Bombyx mori: one gene and its partner. The protein of the gene in region 2 purifies or fractionates together with the protein of the main gene of each other region. This does not show direct contact. Links are inferred from orthologs where the notes say so. Each region holds a gene or a part of one and is shown on either strand. Other genes may lie near its edges. The genes, in order: beta-1-syntrophin; dystrophin, isoforms A/C/F/G/H.

Region 1 (3,834 bases), on a different chromosome or scaffold from region 2:
CCCACAAGATTATATTTATACATTCTGATTGGTATTTATTTATTTATTTAATTTACTTCAGATTTTACATCCATATTACACGTCTTAATTACATTGCATTAACATTTAACATTTAACATTGAATAACAGTTAGTAAATATATTATTATGCATTTTTATGTAATTAAAGACAATTTAGTTTGCTTTTTCTCAATTGCCATTATTAACTTGGTATTTTCAGTGAAAAACTCAGATATTAACTATTCCTTGTAACTCTTGATAGTGATAATCTGCATATCTATTTAGTGATTTTTCATGAAATATATTAAATAATACCATTAAACTGAAAACGGCTTTCAAGTAAACTGTAAATAACATAACAGTTAACAATGTTGCAGAACATCTAACTCTCATCTATCGCTCTGGGACACTCTTATTATAATAGATTATTTTATTGTTTAAGTAGGTCATTGAGCTCACGGCCCATCTGGTGTTAAATAGTTAATGGAGCTCATGGACATCAAAAATTCTGCCACTTATGTCGAGACATGAGTACTTTTTGCAGTCCACATCTGTCCCCACCCTTCACACTGAAACGCATTACTGCTTCACGGTAGAAATAGGCAGGACGGTGGTACTTACCCGCGCGGGCTCCGGATGATATTCCGGGAACCGTGGAAGTCTAGGAAAGTCAATTGTGAACATTTCTTTAGTACGTATTTCATTGGTACCTGGCTGCGGCACCCGAACACCGACACAGTCGCATCACTCGATATGAATGCACCGGGCGTCTTAACCTTCAGACCACGACGAATTTATATTGCATTGCATTGCATTGTTATAAGTGATTGTAGTGCAATGTGCATTTTTTTGTTAGCCATTTAATCATTTCTGAAAATATCTATAATTATTTGTCAGTTTAGGCAATTATAAATTTCTCATTTAAGAACAATAGTCAATTTTCCAATTAAATTGTGTATCCTTTACAGTGAAATATCTCCGTGAAGTGACACCGTACTTCCGTAAGGCATCCATTATAAGTGAAGTAGGATGGGAGCTACAACGTGGGTATATGGCAGACACACCACCGTCGCCACCATCTCCACGCCGTCGACGGGCAGACACTCGTTATGTACCACTGTTAATGGCATGCGTTGCCAAGAATCTCCGTCATAATGACCCAGGTCAGTTTTTAATAATAATAATAACAACTGGCCACAAATTACGCGCCGTCATCTTGGCCCATATTTAGGATTACCTCTGTTATGGGTGGGTACCTGATAACTGATAAACATACATGTTTATAAATATATGCATATACAGATAACAAACACCCACAGAAAGAACAAACAAACCTGTTCGTCAGACAATGCTTGCCCGATGTGGGCATCGAACCCGTGACCCTCTGCCTCTGACAACAGTCAGGGCCGCTAACTATTGCACCACCGAGTCATTCACTCACTTTAAAAAAGTATATCTATATCTATACTAATATATAAATCTACAGTGGTTTTTACGGATGTTCCGTTATAACTACTAAACCCTGCATCCGATTGACTTGAAACTTGGTATCCATGTAGAAAATACATGTACTTAATGGATAGGCCAATATTTATATGAGTGTTGGACTCTCTACACTAGTTGCGGGGCCGTTAATGATAAGAATCTTTGTGGAGCTGAGAAATAATAATTTTAATTTTAATTTTAATTTTAACTGCCTAACGTAGTGGACTGGGACAGCTAGTATGTATATATTTTTAAGGTTTCAAAATATTTTGATGTAATGCAATTTTCAGAGGATCGCACAATCGAAATATATTCACCGGACGGCGTCCACGCATTAGCATTACGGGCCAGTTCAGCGGCCACAGCGTCAGGGTGGCATCGCGCGCTACATGCAGCCGCACGTCGGGCTGCACGCGCCGCTCTTGCTCGCGCCAGGCCGAGACTTCGCCCTCTTGTAGGCGATGTGCGATATGCTGGTTGGATGGCAAGGCGCCCACCGCAAGATCATGTAAGAAAATTAATCAATGTAGGATGGGTAAGGACGGAACGCATGTAAAGCGTGTGGAATGGAGTGTTAAGGTATGAGAAAAAACGGTAAGAAAGGGACAAAAGAATGAAAGACAAAAGCAAGATGGCGAGGACGATTGAACGAGCGAGGTGTGAAAAAGGTGTCAGTTAATTTTGAATTATAATAATAGAGAAGATTTGAAAAGAGAATAATAAAACTAAAAAAGTGGAATAATTGTATGAATCGTGAATGTTCTGTTAAAAATAGATGAGCGCTTCAGGAGGGTCTGACAGCTCCGACGAGACTGAAGGCTGGCAGCCAACATTCGTTGCAATCACAGACAGAGAGTTAAGGTGAGCTTAATAGCGCACATAGTGCTTTTAAAATTTTGCCATTTTGCAGTGGTGTCGATGTGGGCTTACAACAGAGAGATTTTTTTTTTTAAATTTAACATAATGGTTTATGTGAATTTTTTGGAGTATAATGGTCGTCATTGAACAGGCTGTATGAGGCGGCGCCGTGGTCGGCGGAGGCATGGTGCGCGCCGGCGGAGAGCCTGCGGCTGGCGGCGACGCGGCTGGCCTGGTGGCGGCGAGCTGGGGCGGGCGGGGCGGCGGCGCTGGGGCTGCGGGCCGGGTGCGTGGACGGGCTGGTGCAGCGAGCCCTGCGCGCGGACTCGCCGCACGACCTGGCGGCCGCCGCGTCCGCGCTGGTGGAGGGGGCGCACGCGGCGGTGCGAGCGCAGCCCGAGTTCACGTTCCGCTGCTCGGTGGGCGGGGCGGCGGCGCGGCTGGCGCTGGGGGCGGCGGGCGTGTGCGTGTGGGAGGCGGCGGGCTCGCTGGGCCGCGCGCTGTACCGCCGCCCGCTGCACGCACTCCGCGCTTCCGCTGACGACGACAACAACAAGCTCTGGCTGCACTTCGCTGACGACGACACGTTGGTTAGTACCTATTGCTGCTCCTTTGTAAATAAGACTTGAATAGGCATGTACCGTGCTATTTAAAGATTGAAGTTAAATTTCTTTTGGGCACGAAGAGAGATAAATGAGATTTATTGAAGTGAAACTTCTAATGCGACATTCAACAAAATTGTGTTAAACGTATAACGCTACCATGGAATAGAAAGAGACAGAACGAAAGTGAATGCGTGGCACTCGTACGCATGCGCGTAGTATACCTGTTACAGACCATCGCGAGCGTTAGCAACGAGTAGCGTCCGATATTTTAATGAAGCATTTCAAATTATAGCATCTATAATTTAAAATATATATATTAAAAATGTTGAAGATGTCGAATCTCCTATACACCACATTACCTATTACAAGAGCAATCTGATTTAAGGATGAAAAATGAAGAAAACCACAATACTACACATCGAAAAAGAAGCTTCACTTCATTTACGTGCACCAAGTTGCAAGCGCACCGTTTTTTTTTATTGCTTAGATGGGTGGACAGGCTCTGAATATTTCTGAATAAATTTCTATATATTTTAATGTATATTCTGAATACATATCTAAATATTTGATCAAGGAAACCCGTTGAAAGTGGCATATTTCACGTGGCGTAGCATATTTGTGTATTTGTTACGTTTGATCGAAAACGGTGATGCAAAGTGAAAATGTTTACCCAAACACATCACCAAACTGAAGTGCCAAACTAAAACTAAACGTTTCTGATGCAACCGAGACAGAGATGACTTATATATTTTCTCGTTTAAAACCTATCACTTCTGTCACATCCGGGTTTTATGCGCGTTTGTGTATATTTTTCATTAAAATGCGTTTTCCGTGTAATTTTGCCAGGAGCTAGAAATGGACGGTAGCCCGAAGCCGGCTGTGTTCAT
Region 2 (3,834 bases):
CTGTCAATACTATGTTGACAATGTTGTTATATGCTAAAAGGCCGGGTGCATTAGAAAATCATTAAAAAATTTAAAATGGTGATTACGTTTTAAAAAAATTTAATATGTTGATTAAGTTTTTTTAACTTTCTTAATTTTCCGCGCAATTTTCCTATTTGTTTCTATCATAAGAACCTTCTCCTGGCAGTAACAAACAGAACAAAAAAAGAATTAGCGCAATCGGTAAAGCCGTTCGCGGATGATGTCGTGACCAAGGGAAATAGGGATTCATTTTTATATATATAGATTAAAATTAAAGTTATTATTATTTTTAAATATAATTAAAAGCAAATATTCTTGGAATACGTTGGATTGTGGCAACATTGAAAATCTAAGAATGAAAGTGGGCGGAGCCAACGGCGCGGCGTTCCCAGAGCACTGTAGAAGTAGGAGTCGGTTATTATAAGGTTCATTATACTTAAATTGACAAATTTAATAAATATGTATGTACTTCGGTATATTTACAGGTGTATTTCAAGTATATTTCACAGTAACTAAACTAACACTACTTTTTTTAGTTCCTGTGAAATTTTTTGGCGCCCTTATCTCTTACACTCTGTAGTGTCGCCACTTAAAGCCGACTTAAGAAAACTAGAGGTCCCGCAGTAGTCGAAATTCGACTATGATTAATTGGAATTGTATAATAAGTTTGTACACTATTATGATTGTATTTTCTACTTCTATCATCACAAATTTCGCCAAGGCTACGCTATAAAAAAATATTAATAAAGACAAACAATATTTAATGTATTCTCAATTTGACCACAGACGTCAAGAACAAAAGTTTGACAATAAATAGTATGCATGCATGTATGCATGCATGTGTGCGTCAAATACATGGTATGTAGTGTGTGTAATGGTTTCTTGATTGATTTAATGTATCTTTTACGCATTATTTAAAAAAAATATTAGCATTGTGCACTTCATCTCTATATTCTCTATAAGTGTGGAAAAATTCATACTCCTCCGTCCGCGCAATTTTCGTAAAAAGGGATACAAAGTTTTTGCTTCACGTATTAATATATAAATGAGGACGTTCTGTGTTCGACTCTGTGCATATTTTATGAAAAATCAGCGGTTTGTGGTTGATAAAATATTACCTAATACGTCTGTAAAATTGTGAATATCGATGATATTGATAATTGGAACTTGGATGTAGGAAAGGTGTCTTTATTTAGTAATAGCTAAAATAGAACGGAGGGTTGAGCATACTTATGGTATCACCGCCGCTTAGGGATATTAGAGTTAATTTCGGATTTATACCACTGCATGCATCAAGCAGCGTTATTTGACAATAGAGGAAATAGAAAGGGCTGTCGTAAGTGGTTTTGTTGACTCCTGATTGTTCACATGGTTGCAAAATCAGAATAATTTCGCTTAAATCGTTAGCTTTAAAAATATTTCACTTTTCATTTATTTACATAAAATATTATCTGCGCAGATTAAAATATATTTTACTCTTAAGTGTAACCTGATAAATGAACTTTACAAAAATATGTACACGCTGTGTTATTTGCATTTTTTGAGGAAATTCAAAGATATTTTTTTTTGTACTATTAGTTAGTTCCATTTGCCTCTTTATCTAAGGAGCAGCTCAGCGCTCTCTGTGTTTTGTACCCGATATTCCATGGAGGGCTCCGAGGTTTTGTTTTTTGTTTTTATTGGCCTTGTAGACAGGCGAACATGAATGAATGAACGTAGTGGCTCCAGGTAGTATGGAAGAACTCTACTCCGGGGGCGGGCCGTGCGATAGTAATAACGAGGTGATGGGATCATCTCAAGCAGTTCATCTGCCGTGTGGAGTACATACATTTAGTAGATACAGTAGGTACCTACGTACATTTGTACATTCGGTACGTAACACAGAGAGAACCGAAGTTCCTCCGTAGACCCAGAGATTCCATGCGATCCATGAGAATGGGATCAACGACAATCCGATTGACCTTTTTCTGATTGAGGTGAAATGGAAGAAGCTGGTATTTTGGAGCACCGGCTGAAAAATGGGGGCAGTTTTCCACGCTAGGCCGGACTTGTGGTTTGTAAACCAAAACCTTTATCCAGGTGCGAAGTGCCGCTTCGCTCTATTGAGGACTCCCATCATTTTTGCGACAACTTGGCTTTGCCCACGAAATGACTACGACAATAGGATATCCACTTCTGGCACTAGTGTTGACCGCCTCTCCTGCATCACGGTCTGGGAGAGACTTTAAGGGCTGATACATCACGCATCCCCCGTGCTATCATCAGCACAACAATGGCATGCCATCAATAGATAGCATATCATTGTTTGATATGATTCCATCATCCCTTTTATCACCGCATCACCTCACTGTAGCGAAGTCCGCCCCTGCCAGCTGGTACCGCTACGGTTATCCACAGTCCGTTGAAACATAATATGTTTGAAAACCACTCCAAATCGCCTGCACGCAAAGTTGCAAGTCGTCTGCACAAAATTTTTTTATTTTTTATTTTTATTGCTTAGTTGTGTGGACGAGCTCACAGCCCACCTGGTGTTAAGTGGTTACTGGAGCCCATAGACATCTACAACGTAAATGTGCCACACACCTTGAGATATAGTTCTAAGGTCTCAGTATAGTCACAACGGCTGCCCCACCCTTCAAACCGAAACGCATTACTGCTTCACGGCAGAAATAAGCGGGGCGGTGGTACCTACCCGTGCTCACACAAGGTCCTACCACCAGTAATTACGCAAATTATAATTTTGCGGGTTTGATTTTTATTGCACGATGTTATTCCTTCACCGTGGAAGTCAATCGTGAACATTTGTTGAGTACGTATTTCATTAGAAAAATTGGTACCCGCCAGCGAGATTCGAACACCAGTGTATCGCTCGATACGAATGCACCGGACGTCTTATCCTTTAGGCCACGACGACTTCAAAATCCTATCTTACCTATCCTAGGTATGCACACTGAAGATTGAGCGTCATAAGGTTTATAATAATAGAATAATAAATGAAGACAAGCTATGCCCTTCAGGCACATGTACCTACTCGTACTATCTCTACGAGCTGAGTGCGCGCGTTGCGTCGGCAGGCACGCTCTGTACTACTCTGTAGGAGACCATAATATTATAGTAGGTACGTGTCGGTTGACGCGAGTGTTGTCGGTATTTAAGGAGTGAACTAGTAACAGTCACAGAACTTGATTTTTTAAATAAAATTAACGATAGCATATATATATATATATATATATAAAAATGAATTGCTGTTCGTTAGTCTCGCTAAAACTCGAGAACGGCTGGACCGATTTGGCTAATTTTGGTCTTGAATTATTTATGGAAGTCCAGAGAAGGTTTAAAAGGTAGATAGATATGAAAATGCTCGGAATTTTGTTCTCCCTTTGATGTGTCCCCCGTCGGACGGATTCCTTTTGTTTGTTTTAAGTTTATTTTATACAAAAGTTTAGGTTTTTGATTTATCTATTGAGACACTACGAATTCTGCCGGGTCAGCTAGTATTAAATAAAAAGAAATTAAAAGTGCACTTACACTTAGTGTAGTTTAGATGCTTTTCGTAGGGCACCCGGGCGCACGGGGGCGCAGCGCCCACCTCCACGAGCCACGTGAGCCGGCGCCGGCCCTGCGCCGCCGACGGTGCCGCCATCTCGTATCCTGACAGAACAACATTACACTCTTAAGTCAAGTCGCATTTTTGATCCAATCAGTGAAACTTTCACTTGACTTCAACTGACGTCGCCGGACCTCACAACACAAGATGAACCGTTGTGGACTTCGTTCACTTTTGCTCTTTTAATTAATAATAATGAAACTATT

Evidence for each region.
Region 1: the proteins of dystrophin, isoforms A/C/F/G/H (region 2) and beta-1-syntrophin purify together in Homo sapiens (co-immunoprecipitation; 4 studies listed by BioGRID and IntAct, counting the BioPlex papers as one, with this or other methods). This does not show direct contact. The link is inferred for Bombyx mori from reciprocal best matches to the Homo sapiens genes DMD and SNTB1.

Annotation. Positions count from the first base shown.
Region 1 is NC_085118.1:12,114,500-12,118,333, forward strand, and holds part of beta-1-syntrophin, read left to right. Parts: intron 1-967; coding exon 968-1,162; intron 1,163-1,774; coding exon 1,775-1,992; intron 1,993-2,259; coding exon 2,260-2,345; intron 2,346-2,493; coding exon 2,494-2,932; intron 2,933-3,793; coding exon 3,794-3,834. UniProt on the Homo sapiens protein: Adapter protein that binds to and probably organizes the subcellular localization of a variety of membrane proteins. May link various receptors to the actin cytoskeleton and the dystrophin glycoprotein complex.
Region 2 is NC_085113.1:13,856,584-13,860,417, forward strand, and holds part of dystrophin, isoforms A/C/F/G/H, read right to left. Parts: intron 3,673-3,834; coding exon 3,550-3,672; intron 1-3,549. UniProt on the Homo sapiens protein: Anchors the extracellular matrix to the cytoskeleton via F-actin. Ligand for dystroglycan.